Linked DNA regions of Coturnix japonica. The protein of the gene in region 1 interacts with the protein of each later gene in a biochemical or structural test. Links are inferred from orthologs where the notes say so. Each region holds a gene or a part of one and is shown in the gene's direction. Other genes may lie near its edges. The genes, in order: E2F1, SETD7, PURA, PHB and CCNA1.

What was found.
Region 2: of the proteins of E2F1 (region 1) and SETD7, one has a biochemical effect on the other in vitro, tested with the Homo sapiens proteins (3 studies listed by BioGRID). The link is inferred for Coturnix japonica from reciprocal best matches to the Homo sapiens genes E2F1 and SETD7.
Region 3: the proteins of E2F1 (region 1) and PURA form a complex in vitro, tested with the Homo sapiens proteins (2 studies listed by BioGRID). The link is inferred for Coturnix japonica from reciprocal best matches to the Homo sapiens genes E2F1 and PURA.
Region 4: the proteins of E2F1 (region 1) and PHB form a complex in vitro, tested with the Homo sapiens proteins (2 studies listed by BioGRID). The link is inferred for Coturnix japonica from reciprocal best matches to the Homo sapiens genes E2F1 and PHB1.
Region 5: the proteins of E2F1 (region 1) and CCNA1 form a complex in vitro, tested with the Homo sapiens proteins (2 studies listed by BioGRID). The link is inferred for Coturnix japonica from reciprocal best matches to the Homo sapiens genes E2F1 and CCNA1.

Annotation. Positions count from the first base shown.
Region 1 is NC_029535.1:1,932,486-1,938,500, forward strand, and holds E2F1 (transcription factor E2F1), read left to right. Parts: upstream 1-2,196; 5' UTR 2,197-2,211; coding exon 2,212-2,403; intron 2,404-2,671; coding exon 2,672-2,762; intron 2,763-3,023; coding exon 3,024-3,243; intron 3,244-3,384; coding exon 3,385-3,537; intron 3,538-3,684; coding exon 3,685-3,799; intron 3,800-3,885; coding exon 3,886-4,078; intron 4,079-4,648; coding exon 4,649-4,896; 3' UTR 4,897-5,807; downstream 5,808-6,015. UniProt on the Homo sapiens protein: Transcription activator that binds DNA cooperatively with DP proteins through the E2 recognition site, 5'-TTTC[CG]CGC-3' found in the promoter region of a number of genes whose products are involved in cell cycle regulation or in DNA replication.
Region 2 is NC_029519.1:25,733,104-25,738,336, reverse strand, and holds part of SETD7 (histone-lysine N-methyltransferase SETD7), read left to right. Parts: intron 1-530; coding exon 531-660; intron 661-3,594; coding exon 3,595-3,796; intron 3,797-4,600; coding exon 4,601-4,790; intron 4,791-5,233. UniProt on the Homo sapiens protein: Histone methyltransferase that specifically monomethylates 'Lys-4' of histone H3. H3 'Lys-4' methylation represents a specific tag for epigenetic transcriptional activation.
Region 3 is NC_029528.1:15,483,161-15,489,179, forward strand, and holds the start of PURA (transcriptional activator protein Pur-alpha), read left to right. Parts: upstream 1-2,283; 5' UTR 2,284-2,298; coding exon 2,299-3,300; 3' UTR 3,301-3,505; intron 3,506-6,019. Other genes in the region: translation initiation factor IF-2-like, read right to left, coding at 290-1,879. UniProt on the Homo sapiens protein: This is a probable transcription activator that specifically binds the purine-rich single strand of the PUR element located upstream of the MYC gene. May play a role in the initiation of DNA replication and in recombination.
Region 4 is NC_029542.1:2,951,541-2,957,472, forward strand, and holds PHB (prohibitin), read left to right. Parts: upstream 1-2,251; 5' UTR 2,252-2,351; exon of another isoform or gene 2,352-2,457; intron 2,458-2,808; 5' UTR 2,809-2,846; coding exon 2,847-2,934; intron 2,935-3,309; coding exon 3,310-3,471; intron 3,472-3,955; coding exon 3,956-4,098; intron 4,099-4,256; exon of another isoform or gene 4,257-4,368; coding exon 4,369-4,485; exon of another isoform or gene 4,486-4,512; intron 4,513-4,844; coding exon 4,845-4,940; intron 4,941-5,400; coding exon 5,401-5,613; 3' UTR 5,614-5,771; downstream 5,772-5,932. Other genes in the region: ATP-dependent RNA helicase DHX8, read right to left, coding at 1-49, 305-377, 572-657, 1,194-1,305.
Region 5 is NC_029516.1:154,344,861-154,350,855, reverse strand, and holds the start of CCNA1 (cyclin-A1), read left to right. Parts: upstream 1-2,497; 5' UTR 2,498-2,681; exon of another isoform or gene 2,682-2,701; intron 2,702-2,779; 5' UTR 2,780-2,796; coding exon 2,797-2,919; intron 2,920-3,673; coding exon 3,674-3,917; intron 3,918-4,137; coding exon 4,138-4,262; intron 4,263-4,540; coding exon 4,541-4,764; intron 4,765-5,524; coding exon 5,525-5,729; intron 5,730-5,995. UniProt on the Homo sapiens protein: May be involved in the control of the cell cycle at the G1/S (start) and G2/M (mitosis) transitions. May primarily function in the control of the germline meiotic cell cycle and additionally in the control of mitotic cell cycle in some somatic cells.

The DNA of each region.
Region 1 (6,015 bases):
AGCCTGAGAGCCTGGTGGGATGGAGCAGCGTTCAGCAGCTCATTTGGGAGGCAGGCAGTGACTTCTCTGGCTCACAGGGGCTTCACAAGGCTGTCTTGGTTCGGGGGGCGAGCAGCTTCCATGGCCCTGCTGCCCTCACCCTGGGACCGCAGGTTGATACTGAGTTTCAACATTGGATACCACTGTAAAAGAGAAGGAAGTAAAGGAGCTGAACTTGCTCTGTTCAGCATCCAAGGCCATAGCTGGTATCCTGGGGGCAAAATTGCTACTGTAGCGTTCTGTATAGTAATACAACGAAAGGAAGGATTCCTAACTCTTGGGAAGCAGGATCCACTTGTGCCATCTCCCATGTGGAAAAACACCCAAAACGCCGTTCCAACCTGAAAGAAGGCAGGACAACGATGTGGGGTCGGGTCCCTCTGTAGGAATCCAAAGCAGCAGTCTGGGATGCTGAATGTGTCCCAGCAGGAACCCAGGGGCAGTGCTGTGATCAAACCCTCCCTGAGGTCAGAGCAGGGATGGTTTGAGTCCAGATTTGCATCCTCCCAGCTCCCCTGTGTGCTCCCACCACCAGCAGATGACCGTGCGTGGCCTTAGAGACCCACAGGCTGTCCATAATCATGCCCACAAAGGGATAACGTTGGCCAAGCCTGCAGCTTGCAGAGCCCTCTGACCCCCCCCAGCCCAGCAGGAGATGCAGTGCAGCACTGGCAGCTATCAGGGCTCAGCACCCATTGGCAGCTTATCACCACCCGCAGCTGTGCCAGGTGGGATTCATCCGCGGGTGGGGAAAAGCCCCCTTTCCCCCCTCAGCATTTGTCGCAGTGACTGTTTTGCCTTTCATTTGTCTTTGCATCTGCCCTTTTCAAGTGCCACAAGAGCTGAAAGCCTCGGCGAATTGGCACGGGGGAGGTTGGGGGGGGGAGCCCGCTCCCCCTGCATAAACTGCCGTATGAATGAGGGAGGGGGGAATAAAACAAACCCGTGCTGCCCCCAGCTGCCCCGGCCTTTGTGAGCGCGGTGGGAGCAGCTGGTGCCGCAGCTGCCGCTCACAGCCCGCGGCCCCGGAACGGCCCCGCAGCCGGGGCGGGTGGGACCGTGTGTCCGGGCGGGGCGGCACCAACGGGCCGCATCTGGCGTGTAACTGCTGCTCGTACCACTCGCTAACGGGGATATCGCCGTGACCGGGGTGCGGGTTATCGCAAGGGCCGAGCGTTAATTAACAGCGCTCACCGCCGCCAAGCGGAGCGGTGCTGCCGTTCGGTGCTGTGCTGCAGGGCTGGGCCGTGGGCTCCGCAGCCACAGGAAGAACGAGCAGCAAAACACCGCTCAGCGTTCACTACATCCCCGCTGTGAGGCACCGCCCGCACCCAGCGCTAACCCGGCCGTCCCGCTGAGCCCCGCTGCGGCCGCAGCTCCAACTCCGGCCCCGCAGTACCGAGATGGGGGGGTGTTTATGTCCCTGTGGGTTGGGCTCCGTTGGAGGCACATTGAGGTTATCAGCGCCCCGCACACGGGATACAGACGGCGGGAGCCGCCCACGCCACGTCCCGCGGCTTTGACTATGGGCTGCCCTGCCCTGCACCGCCCGCACCGCCACGGACACGCAGCTCAGCCCCGCAGCCCGCACAGCGTCACGGGCAGCTCTAGCCCAGCAGTGCAGGGAGCGCCCGGCGCTCAGACCCGTCTGTGAGTGACCCCACGCGGGACCAGCTCCGCGCCGCCCTCGGCCCCTTTAAGGCCCGGCCGCGCTCCTCACCCACGCGGCGCCACGGCCGCGTCCCCGAGACGCCTCCCGATTGGCTCCTGCCTCAGCTCGGCGGTTCTGATTGGCCGCCTGTCAGCGCGTCCGCCGCCGCCGCCCTTAACCAATGGGCGGCCGGCACCGCCCCTCCCTCCGGCGACCTCGACCAATCAGACGGTTTCCCCGCACCCCCGCCTCAGCGCTCGGCGTTGGGCGCAGCCAATGGGCGGGCGCGGGGAGGTTGGCGCCGCTTTCGCGGCAAAAAGGATTTGGCGCGCAAAGGCGCGCGGGGCCGGAGCGCGGGACAGCCCGGCACAGCCCGGCACGGCCCGGCACGGCCCGGTACAACCCGGAACGGCCCGGAACGACCTGGGGAACGGCCCCGCGGATCGGCCCCGCGCCCGGCAATGGGCCGCGCCCCCGCCCCGGCCGCGGCCCCGCGCCCCGCGCCGCCCGTCACCTGAGCCATGGCTACGGCGGGCGGCGCGGCGGGGCTGGCGGCGCTGCTGGGCGGCTCCTCCCCGCACCTCCTCATCGTCTCGGCCTCCGAGGAGCCCGCGGGCGGCTGCCGCCCCGACGCCGACCTCCTGCTCTTCGCCACGCCGCAGCCCTCCCAGCCCGGCCCCGCGCCGCGCCGCCCCACGCTGGGCCGCCCGCCGGTAACCGCGGGACGGGGGAGGGAGCGGGGCTGAGCGGGGCTGAGCGGGCCGCCGGGCGGGGCCGGGACGTCGCGGTGCCCACGCGGGACCCCCCCCCCCCCCCCCGTCAGAGCCCGGCCGCGCGGGGCACCGCCGCTCCGGAAGCCGCCGCCGAGGCCGCCTTCCGCCCGGCAGCGCCGTTGCGCGGGGCTGCCCCCACAGGCCGGGGCCCGGCCCTGCCGCCGCGGTGCGTTCCGCGTCCCCGCGCTGAGGACGCCCTGTCCCGCAGGTGAAGCGGAAGCTGAACTTGGAGACGGATCACCAGTACATCGCCGACAGCCTGCCCGCCGCCCGCGGCAGGGCCCGCATCCCCGGCAGAGGTACGGCCCCGCTGTGCTGCCGGCCTGAGCCCTTCGGGATGGGCCTCGTCACCTCCCTCTTCCCCTCTGCCACCTGCCGTCCCCGTAGAGCGCTGGGCCCTGCCCGGCTGCTCGCTGTCAGGGCTCAGTCTCGGGGCCCTGCAGCACCATCCCCCGAGCTTCCCATTGCCAGCAGCTGCCGGGTGCTGCTCACCTGCCGGGTGTGGCGGTGCTGGGGCTGCCCCGCGCCCCACGGCTGAATCTTGCACCTGTCCCCAACAGGGGCAAAGTCTCCTGGGGAGAAATCCCGCTATGAAACCTCACTGAACCTCACCACCAAGCGCTTCCTGGAGCTGCTCAGCCAATCCCCCGATGGTGTGGTGGATCTCAACTGGGCGGCCGAGGTGCTGAAGGTGCAGAAGAGGCGCATCTACGACATCACCAATGTCCTGGAGGGCATCCAGCTCATCCGCAAGAAGTCCAAGAACCACATCCAGTGGATGTATGTCCATCAGGGTGGGGGGATAACACCGAAGCTGCCAGGGTTGGGTGGAGGGAGGGAGGTTGGGTTCCACCCTGAGATCGGGAGGTGATGGCAGCAGTGGGGTGTTAGTGCTGGGGGTGACAGCCCTGTGTACCCCAGGGGCAGCCAGGTGGCCGCGGGGGCTTCAAGCCGACAGCAGCTGCTGGAGAAGGAGCTGCGGGATCTGCAGGCGGCAGAACGGCAGCTGGACGAGCTCATCCAGACGTGCACGGTGCAGCTGCGGCTGCTCACCGAGGATCCCTCCAACCAGCAATATCCTTCGGTGCGGGGCCGGGATGGGGCTGGATGGGCTGGAGAGCTGTTGGGGAATGGAGCCCCCCCCTGCTCTGACACTTATGGTCACTGTGTGGGGTTTTGGGTGTGAATGTGGCCCCGTGTCTGCTCCTTGACCCGCCGCACCGCAGCCTACGTCACCTGCCAGGACCTTCGGAGCATTGTGGACCCCTCTGAGCAAATGGTGATGGTTATCAAGGCACCCCCAGAGACCCAGCTGCAAGTCTCAGACCCGGCAGAGGTGAGTGAGGGGTCTCTCCTCCCCATGGATCTTCACAGCCCTCGGTACAACTCCACCTTGGCACTCCATGTCCCTCCTGTCCCCAGGCTTTCCAGGTCTCAGTGAAAAGCACTCAGGGCCCCATCGACGTGTTCCTCTGCCCCGAGGACAGCTCAGGGGTCTGCAGCCCCGTCAAGAGCCCCTTCAAGGCACCTGCTGAGGAGCTGTCCCCTGGCTCATCGCAGCAGAGAGCCTCCCCGCTCCTGCATCCTGCTCAGGATGTCAACATGCTGCTGCCTGGTGAGCAAGGTGGGGATGGGGATGGGAATGGGATGGGAATGGGATGGGAAGGGATGGGATGGGATGGGATGGGATGGGATGGGATGGGATGGGATGGGATGGGATGGGATGGGAATGGAATGGAATGGGGGCACTGCCTGGGCTCTGTGGTGTGGGGACAGTGTTATCACTGTTGTTCCAGTTCCAGGAGCACGAGGTTACAGGGCTGAGGTCTTGGCTGTGTGTTAGGAGGAGCCTGACCTCCATGCTCATGCAGTGCCAAGTAGTTGGACTCAATGATCCTTATGAGCGAGTCCTTTTTAAATTGGGGTATTCTGTGATCCACCCAGCTGTGGGCTCTGCTCCTACCCAAGCTTGGCAGAGACAGCCCTGGATCTTTCTGCTTAGGAAAGGACACTGTCCCTCTTTGTCCCACCACTCAGCAAGTGGTCTGAGTCACGCTGCCCAGTTGGCCTGGATGTTTCTGATCACTCCTGATGCTTTGTGTGCCATCTGCATGGCCTCAGTAGCTTAGAACACAGCAGTTCTGGTGTGTGCTGTGGGGCTGACAGCCTCGCTCTGTCCCCACAGAAGCACTGCTACCAGGCACAGCACTGCCCTCCAAGTGCTCCACAGAGGATGTGAGCCTGTCACCGCTGGCCTCCATGGACACCCTTCTGGAGCAGGCCAAGGACGATTTCTCGGGCTTCCTGGCGGATGAGTTCATTGCCCTGTCACCACCACAGGCACAGGATTACCACTTCGGCCTGGAGGAGGGTGAGGGCATCAGTGAACTCTTTGACTGTGACTTTGGGGACTTCACGCACTTGGACTTCTGAGGCTCTTGTCCTGATTTCAGAAGCTATCCCACTGCCAAGGGGGGGGACGCAGGCAGGGCTGAGGACAGCCACGTGGTGCCCTGTGCCTTGGTGTGGCTCTGGTGCCTTCCTGGGGTCCCTGTGCTGCAGCAGCCCTGGGCCCCCTCCATCCGTCCCCTCTGCAATATTTTCTTCCCTCCTATCCGGCATCTCTGTGCCATGATGGGACAGAGCCCAGCTTGGTGCTTGAGCCCACATTGGGGCCTACTCCTGTCCCAAGAGGAGGATGCTGGGGAGCAAGGGGTCCCCATTGGGTGCCCCCCCACCCACTGCGGGCAGCCATAGGGTGCCCGTGGCAGAGCTTTAAGCAGTCCTGTGTATAGATTGGATTAATTTATTATTGTTCCTTGGGGACAGCGTTTAGTTTCCCAGGAGGGGTCAAGGGGGGGTGGGGGATGTGGTGGTCTGGGGGTGCCGCGAGGTTTCCTTGTGCTGGGAGGGGCCAGCTCTGCGGGGTATTTATTTATTATTTATGCCATGAGGGGCTCTCCCGGGACAGCAGGAGTGGGTGCTGGGGGGGAGATGGTACAGGAGGAGGGTCCCGGCAGGGTATTGCTGGCCCCAGAGCTGCAGGCATCAGATGGCTGCGGGAAGAATGTTGGGGTGGGCTGGGGGTGTCCCCAGGATGTTATGAGGATGGGGAATATGTGGACCCCCATGGCCCAGTGAGGACCAAATGTTGTCTCCAGGCTTTCTCTTTCATTTCCTGCGCAGCCCTTCAGGCTGAGTGCGTTTTGGGTTTGTTTCCTCCTCCCTGGCTCCAAGGGAGGATGGAGGGACCCTGGGGCCAGGCTGGAGCCGCACTTTCACTTACTGCCTTTAACAAGCTTGTGTTCCGCTGAGCTTCGTGTTTAATAAAGGTTTCTACTGACTGTGGCCTTCACTTTGTAACTGGGATGTGAGCAGCCTCAGCACCAGGCAGGTATCCCAGTGTGGGTGCTGGGAGATGAGGGAGTGCCCTTGTGAGACAGTGGCACATGGTAGGAACAGTGGGGACAGTCCTGGAGTGGGGCTGAGGGCAGCTGTGCCCCATCCTGGTGGTGATAAGGGATGAGCCACTTCCTTCCCCTCTTTGTCCGT
Region 2 (5,233 bases), on another chromosome or scaffold:
AGGGGAGGATTAGGTTGGAGATTTAGGAGGAAGTTTTTTACACAGAGGGTGGTGATGCACTGGAACAGGTTGCCCAAGGAGGCTGTGGATGCCACATCCCTGGAGGCATTCAAGGCCAGGCTGGATGTGGCTCTGGGCAGCCTGGTCTGGTGGTTGGTGACCCTGCACATGGCAGGGGGTTGAAACTGGATGATCTTTGAGGTCCTTTTCAACCCAGGCCATTCTATGAATCTATTTCAGATAGGTTTCTACTTTTTCACTTGTTCTTCTGTCTCTCATGTCTTCTGTCCTCTCACTGTATCCCTCCTTTTTTTTTTTTTTTTCACTACTTATTCTGGGTACAGTAGCCTGAGTTACATTGAATCTCTTGATAACTTTTCTTAACAGAAATGTTTTGGTAAGGGTTCATGTTTAATACTGGGGAGGTGCTGCAACTGGGGCATCTGTGTGATAGGGGCAGATGTGCAAGTTGTTACCAAGTTTAATGTGGTTTTTTTTTTTTGCTGTTTGTTACATGGGTTTTCTTTCAGGACATCTAGACGATGATGGCTTGCCACATGGATTCTGTACAGTCACCTATTCATCCACAGACAGGTTTGAGGGAAACTTTGTGCATGGAGAAAAGAATGGCCGTGGCAAGTTCTTCTTCTTTGATGGAAGGTAAACACCAGCTCTCCTATGTTCTGTATTTCTCTTCCTGCTTTCAGTGCTATGAAGCTCAGTCCATGTTCCTCGCACTGAGAGTTTCCAAATAAGCTTTTGTATGAAGAGCTATAGTTGTATACTTTAGGAATTGGGATGTGCTCAGGGATATTGAAAAGTCACGGTGACAGCTACTTGGGTTACAGATTTCAAGCCTGTAACTGCAATGGACTTCTGTGGAGGCCTGTGAGGCAAGTCAGGGACCTGCAGCTCCCTGTGCCAGGCCATGCACAGGTGTAGGAGCCTCTCTGGGTGCTTCCATGTCTGCTTGGTCTTGGGAGCTGCTCATGGCTATGATGGAGCAAGTTACATGTGGCTTTGTTTTCAGCTCTTCTCCATCTTCTGCACGTCGCTTGTGGCCTGCTTTGTTTTCAGAGAAGCCCCTTTAACTTGCACTTTGTTTGTCTGGAGCTGTGGCAGTGACAGGGGCTGCTCTGTGCCTGTGGGTGCATTTCCTTCCTAAGCCCTCATCAGGAGCACCCCGAGTGCCTTCCCCCACCAACAGCGCTTCTCCTCGCAGTTGCTCAGAACTTCCTTGGAAGGAGCAGCAGATGTCTGAAAGGACACGATTCTTCATGGCTCCGCAGCTGCCGGTGGCACTATGAATAGCAGCTGCAAGGCTGACAGTCGTGCTGGCTCCGCTCTCCCCCTCCCAGCTCTGCAAACCTCCAAGCAGGAGCGGAGGTATTGTGCTGCTCAGTGAGTCAGCTCCTTGTCTGCACCCTTCTTTGCAGTCACTTCATACAGGAGACTGTGGGGCTGTTTTCATGGGGAGGATAATATTTTTATTCAGTTATGCAGAAACTGATCAGAACTCTGAGTCTGGATGAAGGAAAATCCCCTCTGTTGTTGGTAATGGGCTTATTAAATCTTGTGCCAGTCGCTGAAAATCACTACTGCCCAGCAGTTGACCTCTCCAAAACACTGTTTTTTTTTTTCCCAAGCTGGCTGACAGCGTCTCTATGGACACACGTACATAACACCTCTGTGCCTGCTGATGACTTCAGCAGAGCAGGCTCTGAGTGTACGGTTGGAGAAAGTGGCCCACAGCTTGGTTGGTGGAGCTGCTCCACCTCACCTGGCAGTGCTCTGTGGGGGAACTCGAGCTGCTGCCGCCAGTACTCAGCCTTTTCTGTACCTCTTTGCCATTGCCAGCTCTTGATTTTTCTTTAATTTACATAACCCTTAATAAAATGGAACGGTTGGCTGCTGGGTGACTGCAGGAACCAGCAAAATGAAAATATACCACAGCAGTCTGCAATATAGTTTTAGAAAATGGGGTGTTTCTATAAACTGGCCTGAGCTTATTGTAATTGAGCCACGGCAGCCATAAGCAAGCGGTGACTCTGGTTCCTAATGGCATCACAATTTACTTAGCTGTGCCCTGGTAGCAGGAGTGCCTTGGTCATGTCAGATGGCACAGTGAGGGAGGATGACTTGGCGTAGTGCAAGGCCTGCTGTTCCCATTACCTGTGCCTTCAGCCAGGCTGAGTGCTTAGGAAGGGATCTTATGAAGAGAAATGAATTGCAAACGTTTCTCCAGACATCTCTCCCTATGGCAGCACGTTCTGTGCTTCAGGGCTGGAAGCAGGCAGATTTCAGCTAACCTTAAGAGTCCCCATGACTAAACATCAGTTGGTGTTTTTTTTGTTTGTTTTTTCTTTTTCTCCCCCTTCAAAAATGCAGTTCACCCCACATATCCTTTCTGAGAGCAGGCTCACCTCTGGCAGGTTCTTTGCTCCGATGACATACTCGAGCTCTCAGCAGTGCTAATGCTTGCAGGAGAGCACTTCACAAGCACTTTGCACAATAGCTGTGAGCGTGATGTTAGCGCCTGGCGCTAAGCTGCAGCTGCTGCTTCCATTAACCAGGCACTCCCATAAGCTGACAGCTCCCAGATCACAGCAGGGACATGTGTTATGTTTAAGAAAAAGCTTTCAGTCCTGCCATGTATAAGGAAAGGTGGGTAAGGGCATGTTGGTGTGGTTTGGTATTGGGAAGCATACTGCATTAAGCCTGACTTCTTTCGAAGAGTAAACTTAAACGTGAGCTTTGTGTGTGTTATCAGCTGCAGAGAGTTTTGCTCTTGTGTTCCCAGACAAACTGCTTACTCCGTAAATGTCTGCATCAGAAGCAGAATTAGACAGCAAAAGTGCATGTGCTGCAGCCAGTCATTAGCTAAATGTGCTCAACAGTTTGTATTACCTTAGGCTGCTTCTGGCTCGAGGAAGAAGTGATTGTGAAGGAGGATCTGTTCAGTGTTGCTTTCGTTCTTTGTAGTTTCCATCAGCAGCCTTTTTAAGCAAGGAAACAAAGCAGAACACAAGTGTTGTTGCATCCCTTCTGAAGGGTTTGTGAGATGAAGTCGAAGTGAGCTGAGCTTGTCTTTGTTCAAGTTACAGCGCAGCATGAGTTGTGTTTGACAGGCTCTGTTCCATTTTAATAGAAATACATGGAAAAATGACAGTGCCTTTAGCAAATCCAGGACAGGTTGCTGCTAAGTGTATTGCTAGGAAGCCAGCTGTGACTTGGTGGCAGGTTGTGGTTTGTGCTCTATTATGGTCCACCTGCATGACAGTTCAGTGTCTTCTCACCAGAGTGATGTCACCACAGAGCCACACACAGGAGGTAGAAGAACCTAATGTGAGTGTAGCTTTCTTGAGCAATACTTAATTCTTGGACCAAGAGCTGTCCATTCATTGTTTTAATTTGCTACCACAGCCTATAAAAAAAGCTCAGCTGCGTAATTTAGATGAAGAATGTTCTGTACATGCTGTGTGCCCTAGTCAAAGGACAGCATAAGGAGCTTGGTTGTGTTGTGCCAACACTGAGGCTTTGCTTCTTACAGAGGTGAATAGTCTTCTATAGCTGATTCCTTTCTCTTTTTGCCAGCACCCTGGAGGGGTACTATGTTGACGATGCCCTGCAGGGCCAGGGAATCTACACGTACGAGGATGGAGTGGTGCTTCATGGCACGTATGTGGATGGAGAGCTGAATGGCCCAGCCCAGGAGTATGACAGTGATGGGCGACTGATATTCAAAGGGCAGTATAAGGACAACATCCGACATGGAGTTTGTTGGATATATTACCCGGTAAACTTGACCTCTCGCTCTTTTTCTTTTTTCTTCACGTATCTTCTCTCTGCAGCTGAAGCAGATACCTGCCAAGGGCCAGCTATCCAAAAGGAAACATAAAAACCTAGGTGGAAGTTCTTTTTGTTCTGGTTTTGGGTAGTCCAAGATACAGTGGAACCTTCTCAGTGTTGCTCAGTGTACAGTGGGGCTGTGAGCAGACTGCTGATGAAATGCATGGGAGACAACAAGCTAACATAACCTGCTGCTCCTATTTAGCTGGGGAAGGACACCTATACAAGGTGTGTGCTGCCTTGGCCCAGCAAACAAGATGGAGCTGGTGTGAGAACTCTGCCTCTGACTGTAGGGTGTGGTAGTACTTGAGTCAATAAGTGAGCCAGAGTTTTTCTGATTCTTGGTAGAAACTCAAGTATTCCTCTGGAAAACCCTTCAGAATTGCTATGTGCTCTTATTACCGTGCTGAGTTACAGCAACAATGGTGATTCTGTTGGTTGTTTTTCAGGTGGGCTTTTGTACGTGCATTACTTTGGGCCTTGTTTCACAGTCTGTTCACATAAAGCTTCTGTGAACTGAAGCTCAGTTGTGTCAGGCAGGAAAAAGCTTGGGTTTGGGTGGTGTCAAACAAGTTGGATGACCCAGTCCCAGTTAATTTCTTTTGTCATTTTTATCCTGACCAGAATCAGATCCAGCTTCTTATGTCATTCTTCCTCACACCTGAGCTTATGGCAGTTAGCTTAGGTTGCTGCTTTTCAAAACTCAGGAACAATTACTAAGAGCTCTTTTCTTCCTTGTCCATACTTTCAGGATGGAGGCAGCCTTGTAGGAGAAGTGAATGAAGAAGGAGAGATGACTGGAGAGAAGATCGCCTACGTGTACCCTGATGGAAGGACTGCATATTCCGGAAAGTTCATAGATGGAGAAATGATAGAAGCAAAACTGGCAACCCTGACATCCTTAGAGGATGGGAAACCTCAGTTTGAAGTAGTACCGGGCAGTAAGTTCCGCTAAACACGCCAACTTGTATTCTTGCTACCAGCTCTGTGCTGCAAACAGCTCAGTCTCTGTAACATTTCTCATTAGAAACTCTGAAGGCTGGCTGTGATGAGAGGATGAGTGTATTAGTGAGAAGCCCTTTTCCTAAATGGTAAAATTGGGCAGAAAAGCACAAGCCCTTTGCTCTGCAGACAAATGGGAAGTGACCCACGTGGTGGTGCTACTGAACTGCATTTCGTAACCCTTCTCTGGTGCACTTGGGGACACAGTCCTGCTTGTCGCCCTCACCGCTGCCAGCTGGGTCAGCATGAAAACCTGCTTAGCAGTGGTAGTGCTGGCACAGCTGCAAACTCTGTCTTGTTGGTAACATAACTGGGGGTGTGGAGGGGGGCTGTGGTTTGGCTGTAGCTCCATCAGTTGGTTGTGTGCAAGTGCATATTATTG
Region 3 (6,019 bases), on another chromosome or scaffold:
CTGCGAGACCGCAGCCCTCTGACAGCCGGTACCGGGGGATGCTCACGGCCCGGCCGCAGCCGCCCCTCGGTTCGGCCCCGCCTCGCCCCTCTGCTCTCCTCCCGTCTCCTCCTGCCTGCTTTGTTCCGCAGTGGAGCCGAGCGACCGTGCGGGGCCGGGCGGGCGGTAGTTCCGCGGTTCCGGTGCCGCCGGGACGGAGACACAACAGTCCTCGGCCCGGCCGCACTCCCCAGCGGCGTGGCGGCCCCTCGCGGCTCAGGTCTCCGCCCGGCCGCTCAGCCCCACCGGGTCAGTGCCCGGTGCCGTGCATTGACCCACACCGACGGCCCTCACTGTCTCCGACCGGCTGCCGGCTCGCTGCCGAGACCCTGGGGATTCCAATGCGCCCCCAACCCTGGATTTCCCTGCGCAGTCTGGCGGAGCTTCCTGGCCCTACCGGCAGCCCCGGGCCCGACGGCGGAACGGCACCGGGTCCTTTCACGGGGCGGATTGCTCCGTGTCCCTGTCTTCGGGAGCCGCCCCGTCGGGCCGGACTCCGCCAGTAGCCGCCGCTGAGCAGCAGAACGGGAGAGGAGCCCCGGCACGCGCTTGGTCTTAAACCGCCTCGCTGTCTGATGGCCACGGGGCCGACGGGGCGGGGCGGGGGAGCCACGGTACCGAGGTACCGGTCCGGCGCGACACGGCCGTCCTGAGCGGGTCCAGAGCCAAGATTTTGTTTTCCGCATTTCCCCGCCCGCCGGAGGCCCTTCCCGGCCGTCCCGGAGCCCCCCGGTCCCGGAGCGCCGACCCCGTCCCGTCCGGTGTTCAGCCCCCACCCGATCCCGGGACTCGGTGCGGCCCCGCGACCCGCAGCGGTTCTGCCCCGTCGGGTTCCGGCAGCGCCGCCGTGGGGGGAAAGGAGCCCCGGGAGCGTTCGTGGCGAGACAGATTTCCACGGCAAGACGCGAAGCGCTCCGCCCGCAGCGGGACTCGGCTCCCCGGTGAGCCCCGCTCCGTGGGCCGGGAGCCCGGAGAACGGCCGTCCCGTTCCGCTCGGGGTGACCGAGGGACGCTCTCCGCGTCTCAGCCGCGGCGAGGGGCGGCCGCCCGGTTCCCTCCAGCCGGGCTCGTCCTTTCGATGGTTTCCGAACAAAGGCTCCTCGCAGCCGCCCGGATCGAACCGCGATTCTTCACGATAAAGAATCACACGGCGGCACCGGGCCGGCAGCGGGGCCCGACTGCGGACGTGCGCCAGGCCACGGCCGTGCCCGCCCGCTCCGCCGCCCGTTGGGGCCGGGGCCGCTGCCGTCGCGCGTCCCCTTTGGCGGCGTCGCACTGAGACGGGTGGGCCCGAGGGGTCGGAACCGCGTGTCCCGCTCCAGCCGCCCCCGACGGGACGATAGAGGGAACTTGAGGGAACCGGGGCTGGTGGGAGGGACCCGGGTCGGAAGCGGGGAGAGGTTCGTCCGGAGGGCGGCGCGGTACCGTATAGTGCGGTATGGTACGGTATAGTACGGTATAGTACGGTATAGTACGGTATGGTACGGTATAGTACGGTATGGTACGGTATAGTACGGTATAGTACGGTATAGTACGGTATGGTACGGTATAGAACTGTATAGTACGGTATAGCACTGTATAGCACGGTATAGCACGGCATAGCACGGTACGGTACGGTATAGCACGGTACGGTACGGTACGGTATAGCACGGTACGGTACGGTATAGCACGGTATAGCACGGTACGGTACGGTATAGCACGTTATAGTACCGTATAGCACGGTATAGCACGGTACGGTACGGTATAGCACGGTATAGCACGGTATAGCACGGCGCGGCACAGCGTCACTCCGCACGGCACCGCACGGCATAGCACCTCGTATCACGGCACAGCCCTCCATAGCACTCTATAGCCCTCCATAGCGCTTGGTATCACGGCACAGCGCGGCCCCGCCCGCCCGTCCCGCTCGGTGCCGTCCGCTCCCGCTCGGTTCCGTGTCGCGGTTCGGCCGCCGGTCGGCGCGGCGCTGCTTCCCGCTCTCGGTTCGGCCGGCTCTGGGGGCCGCTCTCTGCCGCCTCCCGCGCCCTCTCCTCGCTCCCGCAGATCTCGCGAGAGCGGCCGGCTGGTGGCCGCGGGGGCTGTTGCAGCGGCGGCGGAGCGGCGGGCGGAGCGGCGGCGGCGCGGGCGGCGGCCGGGGCGGCCGAGGCGGCGGCGCGGGCGGCAGCGCGGGGGGCGGAGGGCGGCATGAGCGGCGGAGCGGCGGCCGAGGCGGCGCTGCCGGGCGGCGGCGGCGGCGGCGGCGGGCGGAGCGGCGGCATCATGGCGGACAGAGACAGCGGCAGCGAGCAGGGCGGCGGCGGCGGCGGCGGCGGCGGCGGCGGCGGGGGCGCGGCGGGCGGCGGGGGGCCGGGCTCGGGCTCGGGCTCGGGCGGCGGCGGCGGCGGCGGCGGCGGCGGGCCGGGCGGCGGGCTGCAGCACGAGACGCAGGAGCTGGCCTCCAAGAGGGTGGACATCCAGAAAAAGCGATTTTATCTGGACGTGAAGCAGAGCTCCCGGGGCCGCTTCCTGAAGATCGCAGAGGTGGGCGCCGGCGGCAACAAGAGCCGCCTGACGCTGTCCATGTCCGTGGCCGTGGAGTTCCGCGACTACCTGGGCGACTTCATCGAGCACTACGCGCAGCTGGGGCCCAGCCAGCCCCCAGAGCTGGCGCAGGCGGCCGACGAGCCGCGCCGGGCGCTCAAGAGCGAGTTCCTGGTGCGGGAGAACCGCAAGTATTACATGGATCTGAAGGAGAACCAGCGCGGCCGCTTCCTGCGCGTCCGCCAGACCGTGAACCGCGGCCCGGGGCTGGGCGCCGCGCAGGGCCAGACCATCGCGCTGCCGGCGCAGGGCCTGATCGAGTTCCGCGACGCGCTGGCCAAGCTCATCGACGACTACGGCGTGGAGGAGGAGCCGGCCGAGCTGCCCGAGGGCACCTCCTTGACTGTGGACAACAAGCGCTTCTTCTTCGACGTGGGCTCCAACAAGTACGGCGTCTTCATGCGGGTGAGCGAGGTGAAGCCCACCTACCGCAACTCCATCACCGTCCCCTACAAGGTCTGGGCCAAGTTCGGCCACACCTTCTGCAAGTACTCGGACGAGATGAAGAAGATCCAGGAGAAGCAGCGGGACAAGCGCGCCGCCGCCGCCGCCGCCCCCGCGGGCTCCGGGGCCGGGCCCGAGCCGCCGCCCGAGGCCGAGGGCAGCGCAGCCGCCGCCGCAGCCGCCGCCTCCGGTCCGCCCGGCGCCCTGCTGCAGCCCGACGAGCCCGACGAGGACTGACCGCCCGCCGGCCGCCCCGCCCGGCGCCGGGGCCGCGGACTCGGACTGCTCTCGGCCGCGCGGGCGGCAGGCGGCGGCCCGCGGCCGTTCCCGGGCGGCACCCCCGGAGCACCCCCCGCCCGGCAGCCTCCACCGAGCGACAGCAACGCCTCCGACCCGCCACCCATCGCTGGATGTCCCTCCACTTTTCCCACCGTATCAAACAGTAAGCAGCTGCTAAAACAAACAAACAAACAAACAAACAAAAAGTCAAAAAAAAGTAATAACATTATATATGAACTGTGTTTCCTACTTGATTAAAAATATAAAGAACTGAGTGTTTATTTCCCTAATTAACCGAGAACTTTTGTACACGTTTAAGCTATTATTATTAAAAGTGTTTGCAAAAATGGTCAAGATTATAATATTGCTGAATTATATAAAAAGTCCTTTTCATGTTGAGCTAACATTTGACTTTAGCACAAAAAGAAAAAAAAAAAAAGAGATATTTTAGAACACGTAAAATAATATTTTTAGTTTTTTCTTCTCATTTTGTTACCAAATTTCGAACCTTACATGGAGGTTACTATAGTATATTTGACACCCTATATACCTGTGATTAGAGATGTGTATATATATATGAGGGCTAGGCATGCTGTGTGTCTGAGCTTTGTCTAAATGTTATGCAGAAGTTTGTAGAGTTACAAGGTACGTAGGTTTAATTCATGCAAGGTAAACAATAAGTGCTCTCTTTTATACGATATGCATTGCATCTGGACCTTCGACATATAAAAATGGTCAGTGAAACTTCTGTGAACATGAAGAAAAATTATTAAAAAAGGCATTTAAATGAAATTTGCAAACTTGTGATTTTTACGTTGGAACCAAAGTTACTCAAATAGGAAAAATTAAAAAAAAAAAAGAAAGAAAGAAAGAAAAAGAGAGAGAGAGAAAAGTGAAGGGTTTCCTCCCGTAATATTTTTCTGCACCTGTTTGGTTTACAGCTCCGTAGGCGTATTGTCATTGTTGTGTATATGAGATGTTCATGTATTGTTCATAATCCGTTGTTTTTATTCTTATTCTGTGTACTTTGGGCACTCAGACGCTGCGCGGTGCGGGGCCGGCCGGCCGGTGCTGCCCGGTGCTGCGGGTCGTGCATTGCCGTGCATTGCCGTGCATTACCGTGCATTGCATTGCCGTGCATTGCCGTGCCATGCATTGCCGTGCATTGCCGTGCCGTGCATTGCCGTGCCATGCATTGCCGTGCATTGCCGTGCCGTGCATTGCCGTGCATTACCGTGCATTACCGTGCATTGCCGTGCCGTTCCGTGCCGCCGCGCCCCGCCAGCCCCGCGCCCGGGCCGAGCTCCGAACCGAGATGATTTGTAATAATAGATTTTTACAGGTGGATTTTTGTTTTCTTTTTCCTATTTTATTTTTTTTCTTTTTTAAAGTTGATGTGCTTTTCATTGACTAACTTCTTGCTGCTGTATAGTAAAATATTAATATATTTTTATCATTAAACTGCTGCATGACTATCATCGTGACGAGTGAAGAGAAGGTGTTACAAAACAAAAGATGCCTTAAGCAGTACAACTGGTACAACTGTAGTCGTTGGCCGGAGCTCTGGGGCGCAGGGGGAGAGCGGAGCTCGGTGAGAGAAGTTTGTTTTCTGCTGTCTGCTATTCCCATTGCAAACTGTAATCCCTTTCCCCCTCCTCCCTCCCCCTTTGTTTCGGAGATGTACTGTGAGTGTCAAAGCTGTTCCCGTCGTGCCGTGCCCTCCCCGTCGGTGTTCGCAGTTATCGATGAGGCGTCGGACGTTGGGCGATTCTGTTTCTCTAACAATCACTGGAATTGTTGATAATTGGTTTCATGTGCACTTTCCTGATTTCGAGCAGTAAAATAAGCTTTCCGAGCTCATGATGTGACATTCGGAACGGTTCTCAATCGCGTGCCGGCATCGTCGGGCGGTGCCGCCCGGGCTGTCCCGCCGCGTTCCTTCCCGCTGTTCCGGTGCTGCGTGCGGGGCGGGGGGCTCCGCCTCCAACCCCCGACGGCTCCGCTGGGCCGCACGGCGCTGCCCGCAGCCCCGGCCTTCAAACCCCCCAAGCTCGGCCCGGTGCGGTGCCGTTGGTGCGGGGCGCGGCGGGGGCGGCCGTCGGGGAGCGGAGCCGGAGCGCTCCGTCCGTCCGTCCGTGTCTCCTCGGGGCTTTTCTGGTGTGTTGGTCGTTGGTTTTTGTTTTCCCCTTCCTCCTAGGACTTGGCGAATGATGATAATGAGAGAGTAAAATGACTGCAAAGGTTCGTGGAGTTCGGGCTTGCTTTGGGTTGCTCTCGCTTTTCTGGTTTTGGTTCGATTCTTCTTTTTTCTTCTTTATTCTTTGAAATTCCTTCGCTCCCGGAGGTGCTCGGTGCCTTCCCACGGCTCCGATGTCTCAGTATTTAAAACAAAATGCAGAAAGCGCAGTTCGGTGCGGGAGAAGCGAGGTATATTTGACCATATGTGTTGTTTCTCACAAGGACAGTATGCTCAAATGTGCCAAGGTCCCCAATTCCTGAGCAGCACGCCTTATTTTCCTCGGTGACATGCTTTTAAATGTCGTGTAGGACAGGTCCAAGAGCACGATAGAGCTGCTTTGTAACGACTGCGCGCGAGAAAACTTGAAATGCATCGCAATACTGACATTGCTTTGTTTCTGAGTTAAAGGGACTCTGTCAAGTAATTGACTGCTAAAAT
Region 4 (5,932 bases), on another chromosome or scaffold:
AATAATTCCTTCAATCTTTCCTTTTCCGATTTGGGTTTGGTAACGGCCTCTGATTTGGAGATGAACAAAACAAACAGATAGTTTGTAAGAGTCAAAATGATTTCATCTCAGCCTTTCTGAAATTGAATGTTAAACTTTCAGCCACATATAGAGGTTAATACGGATCTTATTATTTTAGAATATTAAATATATTGCCCTCAGCAAACACAAGACACAAACTGCAAAGGATTCGAGAGCACAGTTTGGTTGGGTTTGTTTCTTTTTAACTGAACTGATGGAAGGGAAAAGAAAAGACTTCACTCACCTTTACTCGCAGATGGTTTTGATGGAGGCCGCATCGTTTGTATGAGACGCAACAAGTTGCTGATAAGGGAATCCTGCAAACAGAATAGAAGGTTTAAGATGTAAGAGGTGATAGCATCACTTTTGGTCATTATTACAAAGCACAATATGGGGGTAAACAACAGGGCAAAGATTGAAAGGCTGAATATTGCATAGCCCTGCAGTATAGCCAATCCCTATATCTCCCTTTGATAAAGGAACACACAGAACACATTCAGATCTCACTTACTGTGAACTCAGCCCCATTCTTTAGCAGAACGGCTTTAAACGTGTCAAACGTCGTGTTTTTCTCGGCGAGGCTGATCACAAATTCGGCTACAAAGAAAGAGCACAAAGTGAATCAAATAGCACAAGGGCACAGAATCACACAGAATCACAGAATGACCCGGGTTGGAAGGGACCTCAAGGATCATGTAGTTCCAACCCCCCTGCCTGGCAGGGCCACCAAACATACACATTTACTAGATCAGGTTGCCCAGGAGACCCCATAGATCCCCATAGAGACCCCATAGATCCCCATAGACCCCATGGACCCCATAGATCCCCATAGAGACCCCATGGACCCCATAGATCCCCACAGAGACCCCATAGATCCCATAGATCAGGTTGCCCAGGGCCCTGTCCAACCTGGTCTCGAACACCTCCAAGGTGTTCAAGGGCAGCACCCAGATCGATCCATCTACCTACAGAACAGCAGCATCCCCTTCTAGGCGCTCACATCTAAACGTTTTATAATATTTCTTTTAGAGATATATTTTATTCTTCTCAATTCCAAAGGCCTTTCGTTGAAGGCATCATGGCCGTCAGGCCCGGTTACAACCTCCCCACAGCTATCACCCCACCTCACTCACCCAGATCCTTATCGTTGATACCCAGGTGGTTGTCAAGCTCGGTGCAGACCTTAGAGACCAGCGATAAATACTCGAGCTTGGCGAGCTCCTCTAAAGCCGCCAGGTCCGCCATCTTTCCCCCACCCCCACCCCACACACCAGGAGCCACTTCCGCATCCGGGAAGCACCGGAAGTCAAGCTGATCATAGAGAGGATAGAGAGCTAGAGCGGCTCTGTCCGGATCCAATCAGCGCTGGGGGGTGCCGGAAGTGGCCGTTGCTAGGCGACGCTTGCCGCCGCCATGTCGGCCTTGCACTGGGAGGCGAGGCGAAGGCAGGCCGCGCTGGAGCGGCGCAGGGCCGCGTTAATACGGGTGTGTGTAGAGCGAGGGAAGGGCTGGGGAACGGAGCTAGGGCGGCTCTTATAGCCCCATATGTACTTTGCAGTCCGCGGGCTGCTCTAGAATGGATACGAGGCACGGTATTGATAACAGCCCGACGCAGGCATTGCCTCCCGGTGAGCAGAAAGCGGCCCTGGGGTTAAAGGAAGGGCTGAGAGCCGGGCTGGGCTCTACTCAGCTCTACCTTGTTCCTATTATAGAGCCTCAGCCGTATCGTTGCTGCTGCCCGAGTCATCAAGCGTCCAACCCAAGTGCCAGGCTGCCCAATCGCTTCACGGTAAGGAGCTGCCTCAAAGAGCTGAGATCCATCTGTTTAGAAGCCAAAGTAATTTCCCTTTGCATCTATAGGCTATTCAGTACATGCAGCAATGGTGAGGACCACAGACCACAACAAGCAGAGCAAAGCACCGCCTGTGTACAGCACAAGGAGCCATGTCAGCTAAAGCTAAGAGCTAAATAAAATAGCACTGCGCCTCAATGTCAATGGTCTGTGTTAAGCATTAAGCTCCTTCCTCTGCCTGGGCCTGCCCGGCTCTGGGGTTGCAGGCCCAGAGGCTCATTGCTATCAGCGAGCTAAACAACCAATAGGAAGCAGCCTTGCTCAGCATGTGGTACCGCCGCGAAGCTCGCTGGGAGTTGTGTCCTACCCTGTAACTACAATAACAACGAAGAACTACAAGTCCCAGAATGCCTCGTGGAAAGCGCGGGCCAATAGGGAGAGGGCGTGTTGAGGTTGCACGCATGCGCGGTAGGGTGGGAGGCCGAGGATTCATGTGGAGGTCAGGGGAGCTGCGGGAGGAGAGTGGGGTGGGAGGGGGCGGAGGGTCTTGGGGTATTGGAGCTGAGCTGGGGGCTGAGGGTACGAACGAGGCCTTCACCCGCCAGGTCTGTGTCCTGAGAGTCAGAGGCCTCGGGAAACGTGGGTGGGAGGAGGGAGGGGGGGAGAATGGGGAATTAAAGGGGGTTCGAGGTGTGGGGTTCCTCGAGGGGTTTTGGGGGGGGGGAAGGGGGGGATGTGGGGTCTTGGGTTCAGAGTCCAAGGTGATAAGGGGGGGGGGAGTGGAGAGGCCTGTATGGCTGCTGAGGGGCAAAGAAATTGCTATTATAATGAATGATCCCATTTCATGGTGGGCTTTTTGGATTGGGGTTCCATCCCAGCTCTAGGTACACACTAGGGCTGCCTGGTTTTCTCGTTTCCTATAGTTTTACCGAAGTTATGGGATTTTTTTTTTGCAGGAGGTTCATCATAAAGGGGTTAGAACAGCACGTGAGAAATGGCTGCCAAAGTGTTTGAGAGCATTGGGAAGTTCGGCCTGGGGTTGGCTGTTGCAGGTGGAGTCGTCAATTCTGCTCTATATAATGGTGAGTGGGACAGGCTGAGTGTTTCCAGTTCTCTTTATGTCCTTATTATCTGGCTGCTCTGTGCTTTTATTGCTTGTGGTATCTGGGGAAGACAGTGATAAAGCCTCTTTCAGGGCTGTTTTGTACCTTGTGCATTGCATAAGTAGGAGGAATTCAGGCTTTTTCAACACAACTCTCTTGTGAGCAGGCTGAGGGCTCAGTGGTAATGGATGAGTATTCTCTTTTGATTTGTTATTCCTAAGAATATTAATAGCTTTGCCATTTTTACATAGCAAAAAGCCTTAACTAACCTCCATAGACTGTCCCTATGGAAGTTTTGCTGCTGTGCAGATATAACTCATGATGCTACTGAATCTATGTTGTTTTCTTTTCCAGTTGATGCAGGACACAGAGCTGTTATCTTTGATCGATTCCGTGGAGTCCAGGATACGGTGGTAGGAGAAGGAACTCATTTCCTCATCCCCTGGGTACAGAAACCGATCATTTTTGATTGCCGTTCTCGCCCACGTAACATACCTGTCATTACTGGCAGCAAAGGTGAGGTTTGGGACTGGGCAGCTCTATAAGATCCAGGCACTCTGATGTGCACTGTGTGTGTCTCACTCTTCTGCTGCTTTGGAGCTGGGTGGGCAGAGGCATGAGAAAAAGCTTTTTGAAGACACTTATGATCATTAACGTGCTAGAGGACTATAGGAATGAGGGTTTTATCTCTGAACATGGAGATTCTATGAGTGTAGAGTTTAGCAGTCAGGAATAGTTTGATACTTATCCTTTAAATAAAAAGTCTGTGTTTACTGTAGGGTAATTCCCTGCATTACAGACAAACTGAAGCTTCAGTTTAATCTGTAAGGAGGATTTGGATCCCTATGTGAAATATAGTCCTTGGTTAATGAAATACTACAAACCTTTCCTTTGTTAGAAGTCTGAATGTTTGTCTTATTTTGCTTTCCTCTGGAGGGGACAGCTTCAGTATATCTCCTGCCCATAAGGTTTAATGCTAAATTTGTGCCTGTTTCTGCAGATCTACAGAATGTGAACATCACGCTGCGTATCCTGTTCAGACCCGTGACTGCGCAGCTACCCCGGATCTTCACAAGTATTGGGGAGGACTATGATGAGCGTGTCCTGCCCTCCATCACAACTGAAATCCTCAAATCTGTTGTGGTAAGAACAGCACAAATGCTGGGGTCAACCTGTCGCTTCTCTTTTGTTTTAGCACTAATGAGACGTGCTGAATTGTGGAAAATGTGAAGCTCTAAAATGAGGCTTCTCTTTATACCCCTTGGCTCTAATGTGCAATACAGAAGAGTTAAAACTGTATCTATGCTGATTGCTTCTCTGTCGTTTTAACTACTTGGCTTTATTTTCATCAAGTTGGGTGACAAGTAGAGCATCTGAGAGCTTTCTTCTCACTGTTGTCCATCCTGACTTCAGGCTCGCTTTGATGCTGGAGAATTGATCACTCAAAGAGAACTGGTCTCCAGGCAAGTGAGCGAAGACCTCACAGAGAGAGCAGCAACTTTTGGCCTCATTCTGGATGATGTGTCCTTGGTAAGAGTTCCCTTTCAGTTTTTCTCCCTGTGCAAATAGGGAAGAAAATTGGTAGAGGATCGGAGAAGAGGTGTGAAAGCTTGTGTATGTGGACCCTGTTTGTTTGCAGTTGCACATGATGCAGTGGTTACAGCTCAAGTCAAAGTAGTTGGTTGTGTCACTGGCCACCTATAGACTTTGTTTTTTAAAAGGATGGAAAGCTTGCTAGGTTTAGTTTCTGTTACACTGCATTCTTTTTTTTAGCGATACTGACTTTCCATCTTCTCTGATAAAGGCAAAACGCCTCCTGCCTTAGACATGTGCTGTTGGTAGCAGTGTTGCTGTAAATGCTGTTGTGGACTGTGATTTCTGCCTTGCAGACCCATCTGACCTTTGGTAAGGAATTCACCGAAGCAGTTGAAATGAAGCAAGTGGCCCAGCAAGAAGCAGAGCGAGCCAGGTTCATTGTGGAAAAGGTACTTTATTCTTTTGAGAAACTTTAGCTTGGAAGTAGTTCCTGGTATCTCAGTCATTTCTTCTCACAGTGAATACTTTAGTCACCTGCCCAGGAAACCAGGCAGGTATATGACAGGTGTCACTCAGAATCATAATGCTAATATAGTTCAGTGCTCAAATCTTCTCTAGACAGCTGTCCACCAGGAGTGCCCTTAGGCGAGCTGCTGTTTCATGAGGTTAAGATAAGACAATTTCAAGTCGATTTTTAAACATCCCCTCCACAATAGGCAAATATGTGTTTGTGTATATATGTGTATATGCACAGCTTTAACATACAACCACCTGGTTTAGCTCTCTTAAGTCTTCTGAAGGAAAGAACAATAGAGTGGTGAAGGGGGAATTTATACTTAAAGCTTGCCTGTAGCATCTTCCTTCTGTTTCCTTTTCTGCTCATTTTTCTTCTCACCTGTTTTCTTGCAGGCTGAGCAGCAGAAGAAAGCAGCTGTTATCTCAGCTGAGGGAGACTCCAAAGCAGCTGAGCTGATTGCCAACTCGCTAGCTACTGCAGGTGATGGCTTAATTGAGCTACGCAAGCTGGAGGCAGCTGAAGATATTGCTTACCAGCTTTCAAGGTCTCGCAACATCACCTACTTGCCCTCTGGACAGTCTGTTCTCCTCCAGTTGCCGCAGTGAACCTGGCTCTGCAGCCACAGCTAATCCGATCACCTTTACCTGCCAGTTCAGCTCTTTGCAGAAAAATCATTGCATTTTCCTGATTGGGTAAAGCAGAGAAAATGAAAATTCAACTGATTTAGGATTCTTTAATAAAACTGAACATGCTTCAGAACAAACCTGTGTGCTTTCCATGTATTGTCAGAGTAGTGGCTTCACTGACCAATTAATTAAGCTAGGTTTGAGAACTCAATCTTCCTGAAAAGTCGGTGCAAAGGAGCTTTCTTCTGTTGGTCTCTGGGCACATATAAGTGGCCCAGTGACCTCCGAACATCACAGT
Region 5 (5,995 bases), on another chromosome or scaffold:
TACAGGAAGCATCCACAGCCTCCTTGGGCAACCTGTTCCAGTGCATCACCACCCTCTGTGTGAAAATACCTTCCAGATAAAGGCAAGGCTATACAGTTGGTGCCGTTGCCAGCACCGAGTGGGACCTGCCTACAAGCTCTGGTACCATCAGCTGTTCAGTGGATCTGCAGAGCACATTACCAAAGGACAAGCTGTATGTGCTGCCTTTGCCTGCCCAGAATCACTTCAAGTCAGATACAACAGTCTTCTGCTAAGGATCATTATAGCCCCTAAGGGGAAAATGTGCACTTGCTCAAGGCTTTAGATTTTCCTTCCCTGTGGTATATATAGTTCAGCTGCTCTTTGATGGCAGTTTGGTAGCTTCCACCTCTCTCTGTGCTTGCAATCAGACACAATACAAGGTGTCCAAGTATAATTTTTGGAAGGCGTCTTTATCATGCAGCATGAGGATGAGAGGGATTTGCAGACAGGCTGTGCTCCAAGGTCAACTTGCCTAGAGATCATAAAGATATGCAGTGCATCGGGCTGCTCTCAGAACCAGCCAGGCCACTCTCACAGGGTGATTCTGCTCTGTACAGCAAGTGAAGGATGAGTATGTTCACCATCAAGGCAAATCTTGCAGTCTTACCTATCTATGGTGCAGATAACTGAACTGCCTGGTGGTGTACATTTTTTGTCCCTTTTTAATGTGTTAACATATATATGGCAATGTAGGCTGTGTTTGTGACTGCCCACACTGCCAGTTGTAAGTAGTTTTATGTTAAGTTTTTGGGTACACAGAGGTTTTACCCATTAGATTGCAGAACCTGTCCAAAATCAAGGTTCACTGTGAGCTTTTATGAACTTGTATACCGGAGTAGTTTGGATTTAAGTGGTGGTGTCCAGTAAATATTCAGTAGAAGCCCAAATGCTTTATTCTGTACATGTGGAGAGCTGGGGTCTGAAACAAGGCTGAGTCTTGGACTTGTTTTTATTCCTTGGCCAACAACTCCTGAACCTCAGATTCATGTTTTAATTGTTGGCCTTTTTTCTCTGATTCAGCTCAGAAAAACAACAGGAAGGAAGGAGAGGAGAGGAGAGGAGAGGAGAGGAGAGGAGAGGAGAGGAGAGAGAGAAGGAGAGGAGAGGAGAGGGGAAGGAGAAGGAGAGGAGAGGAGAGGAGAGGAGAGGAGAGGAGAGGAGAGGAGAGGAGAGGAGAAAGGTCAATTTAAAAAACATGAGAAATGAGGGAAGGAAAAAAACATAGACTTTAATACAGCTTGGATGACAAGCAGTGTATAAAACAGATTTGGCTTTGCTTGATGGGTCCAAAATCTTTATCTGAGCCCTTCGCTTTAATTATCCCGAGAACTTCTCTCAAAGCAGAGACATTCCTGATGACAATTTCTCTGACTTGATCTTACAGATCAGAAGGGGGAAATCCTACAAACCTCCTGTGCCATCTCTTCTGGAGCATCACAGTTGTGATGCCTAATCTAAACCTCATGGTGTAAAGCCCTTATGCTGCTTGCTCTTGCCATTGCAAATAAAGAGGTTAATTTCTTTTGTACTCTCTATGGACTTTCAGAGGGCTCATGTGCCACTCAAGCTATGTTCCTGCTTGTTCATGGCTGTCTAGCGTAAACATGGAGACTCATGCTCCACTGGAGGTTCCTGTAAAGCTGCTGTTGTCATTTTACATCCTTTTCTTATACTCTAAATGTTTAGTTCTTAGTGATTATTTGTTCACTGAACTCTTATGGGAGCTCAAGGTAACCTCTCTTGATTCCTGACTCTCTCAAGGTAACCTCTCTTGATTCCTGTCTCCTTTTGAGCCTGGTGGCATTCCTCTTATAACTTGGAAACCTGTCAGAGCTCACAAGGAGATGGAGCACATCTGCCCAAGTCCTCTATCAGCACCAGGCAGAAACGACCTGCTTCCTTCGTACCTGGTTGTTCATTATTTAGTGACCTTATTTCGGTCTTACTAGTGGTGACCTCCTCAGTGGGAACCAAAGCCAGAAGACGGAATGCTTCTATGGGCTCAGTGCTGCTCGAATCTAGCCCTCCCCTGGCCGTTTTCTCTGTTGACCTTGTAATCGCGGATCTCTTGTTATTGCCTGCTAGCTCTATCTTGTTTGGTCTTCGTTCCTTCTGCCTGCTCCCACTTCCCACACATCCCCCTTGCTTTCGCTAATCCCTCTAGCTTCCCTTCTCACTACAAACACCTTATCTCTGGGACACCGCGTACAAACTCATCCCGTTATTCATATTCATGCTTTAAAACCGCTCTGCTTTTGCCCGAACGGCTCCTTCATCAGGGTTCGGGGTTCAAAAACCGAGAAACCGCCGCTGGCCGCCACCGGCCGCGGGGCTGAGGCGGCTCCAACCACCGGCCCGAGCGGACCCGGCGCGGGGCGGAGGCGGGCCTGCACTTCCCCGCCCCGCGCCCCGCTCGGCCCGCGTCGGTCCCTGCTGGGTCAGCCCGGCTCTGGTGGAGTCTCCACGGCGACTCGAGACCGCTTGGGTTACCAGGGCGGCGGCACGGGTGGTTGCGGCCCCGGCCTCCAACTGGCCGCGGCCAACAGCCGCCGCCGCGCCCATAGGCCGCCGCCTATATAGGGAGCGGCGGGTGGCAGCAGCGAGCGGCTCTGCGTTGGGAGGGGGTAGCGTAGCTGAATCCATCGCCACGTCCGAGGCAGGTGCGGGGCTCCGTAGGCAGGTACGTTTTGTTAAGTGTTTTTAATTAATTAATTTATTTTTTTAAGTGCTGTTATTTTTTTTTCCTCTCGTCCGGAAGGTGCCGAAGTCGCGGTGATGCGCCGCACGGGGGAGATGAGCCAAGCGGGGCGGAGGGAGCCTCTCCCCGCTGCGCCCCGAGGCGGGCGGACCGTGCTGGGGGTACTGGTGGAGAACGGGCAGCAGCGGCCCAGCGCCCAGGTGAGACCCGGAAAGCCCCAGTGAGCCGTGGGACCGGGGTGGGCTTCGTGGTCGGCCTGGGGAATGCCGTGCCGGCTGCGTTTACTGGGAGTAAGGGGAATTAGCGAGGCTTTCCCAAGCCCTCTCTCTCTGGTCCCTAATTGGGGATGGCTGGTGTGGCAGGGAGAAAGCAGCTGTGCTGGCTTACAGGACATCACCCAGCTGTGTGTGCCTGTGGAATGCTTGGTTTTGGTGGTGTGAAGCCCATAGCTCAGTCAGTAGATGGTCGATGATGGGGAGAATTGTAACCTGAAATCTTATGGATTGTGGTGTTTAAGTTCAGAAGTTCAAAGTTTGCTTTGTAACTGAACTTATTTTGGCCCATAATGTCCTTTGTTAAGCCTGTGATGGTGCCTGAATGCTTCCTTTCATCGCCATGACGTGCTGTAGCACCTTCTCCTTGCTAGAAGTGAATATGGAGCAGACCCTGCACATGCCAGCAGGTTGGAGTCAGGCAGTGTCCTTGCCTTACTCTGTGGGAGTGAGGCTGTGCTCCTGGTTTCTGGCTTGCACTGCCCATCGCCTCCTGTAAGGTCTCTGTTGCAGAAGCAAGCAGTATTTCTTAAGTAACAACTGTAGCTGCTGGCTTTCCCAGCAAACTTGTAATTATTTGTCCGTTAACCAAGGAAAGTGATATACCTTCTCTAAAACAAATGATACTGCTGTTTTCTTCTTGAATTACCTTGCCACAGCCTTATTGTGTACTCTGTTTCAGAATACTGCTATTACCAGACACTTATCTGGCTCTGAGAATGCCTTCCCTCCAGCTGGAAAAGATGAAATATCCAACTGTGTGGTCAGTACTACATCAAAACAGGACTTTGCTATTTACACTGATGAACCAGAAGAGAAAGAAAACTTCAGCTGCCAAGAGGATGAAGAACTGGAGTCAAGCCTGTGTGAACTGGATACTAGTGCAATGACATCCAGCATTCACCTACTGTTGGATCTGAGTACAGGTAACTCCTGTTAATGTTCACATGGTATCACAGGTACTTGCAATGTGGTTATGAATCATGCTGGCAGTGAGCTAGTGAGTAGCCTATCTTCAAATAGTTACCACTTCATGATAACTTTAATTGAGTCAGTGTGATGCGCAACACTTCTATGCTAGAAATGGACAGAGGTAGTGAAGAGACTAATCAACTAAATGCCTTCCTGGCTTCTCTTTCCTGTTAGCATCTCCCATGCTTGTGGACACATCCTTCCGGTCCCGGCCTGAGGATCAGATGGGAGATCCTATAACTCTAATGACTGTGGGAGAGTATGCAGAAGACATTCATCAGTACCTCAGAGAAGCTGAAGTGAGTATATTTTAACAAATGTAAAGCTGTGTAGGATCTTCCTTAAAGGCTGCAATACTGCAAAGCCATATGGCTGTCACACACTAACTCTAGGCTGTCACTGAACAAACAGTTAAAGCCATTACTGGAGCTTAGTTCTTAGAAATCTTCTAGACAGTGATGATGTTTTTCAGGCATTACTCCACATTCTGAAGATGGGATGTGAGTAGATTATTGCAAAATACTAACGCATGTGACTTCAACGGCTGTTCTGTTTCTTAAATTGTCTTTCTAAACAGGTGAAATACAGGCCCAAGCCCTACTACATGAGGAAGCAACCAGATATCACAACAGAAATGCGTGCCATCTTAGTAGACTGGCTGGTGGAAGTAGGGGAAGAATATAAACTTCGAACAGAGACACTGTACTTGGCAGTGAACTACCTGGACAGGTTTCTCTCTTGTATGTCTGTTCTCAGAGGGAAGCTGCAGCTTGTAGGAACAGCGGCAATTCTTCTGGCAGCGTGAGTGTTTATCTCATGAAATCTTAGTGAGATGAACTTATTTTTGGACTTTTAGTTTAATTTGAAGGACTTTAAGCTTGTGGTGGTAGGTAGGTTTTCATGCTGTCCTAAGATGGTGCCCCATCCCTGGAGGCTTTCAAGGTAAGGCTGGATCAGGCCCTGGGCAACCTGTGTTTGTCTCTGCTTATTGCAGGGACTTGAACCAGATGATCTTTAAAGGTTCCTTCTAAGTGTAAGGATTCTAGGGTTCTGTCATTAGCCACTTAACATACTTTAACTCTTGCAAAACTAAGAATTTAATATTCTTTATTAAGGAACTGTAGAGGGAGAACCTTGTAATCATAATACCAGAAGCAAAAACAGTGCTGTATTAAGCCACTAGCCCATAGTAGGTTAAAAGTTGCAATCTGCAATTAAACTTAAACTGCTTTAAATAGGCAGGGTATCCAGCAAAGCCTAAGGGTGCATGGATTTTTGTCTAGAGTGCATGATGTTACTGACATTTTTTCCTTAAGAGTTTTCTTATTCGTCAAGAGTGCTAGTATGAGTGTATGACTATTTAGGCTGATGACTTAGAGAACATCTTTGCCTTCCCACCAATCTGATAATCAAGCCTCTCCTATACTAGGGAAATCTTAAAATAAGACCTCTAAGCCTGTCTTAGAAATGTCATATGCTCACCTTGATGTGGGCCCAGCAGAAAGTTCTGTTACTTTAACTTTTAAGTTCACAAATCTGGCTTTTCTGTTTTTTTTCCCAGGAAATATGAAGAAATCTACCCTCCAGAAGTGGATGAATTTGTGTATATAACAGATGATACATATACAAAGAGGCAGCTGCTAAGAATGGAACACCTGCTTCTCAAGGTTTTGGCTTTTGATCTCACAGTGCCAACCATCAACCAGTTCCTACTTCAGTATATTCACAAGCATGGAGTCTGTTTCAGGACAGAGAATTTTGCAAGGGTATGAATTACCATTCTTTTAAGATAGATTTGTAGGCTGCTACCATCAAAATGCAGGCTTCCGTGCTTCATTATTTCTGGATAAATGCCTGGGAATGCTGAGCTTAGCCTGTGTCTGGTCAACTAGACTATCTTGGCAGCAAGGTCTTAGGAATCCTTTCTTCAAATGAATATGCATGGGAAGCCTGACCTGGACATGATGATTCTTCATGTTGCTGCCCAATGACACAGCATATTCCCACAGAATGCTTGGGGAAACAGTGCTTC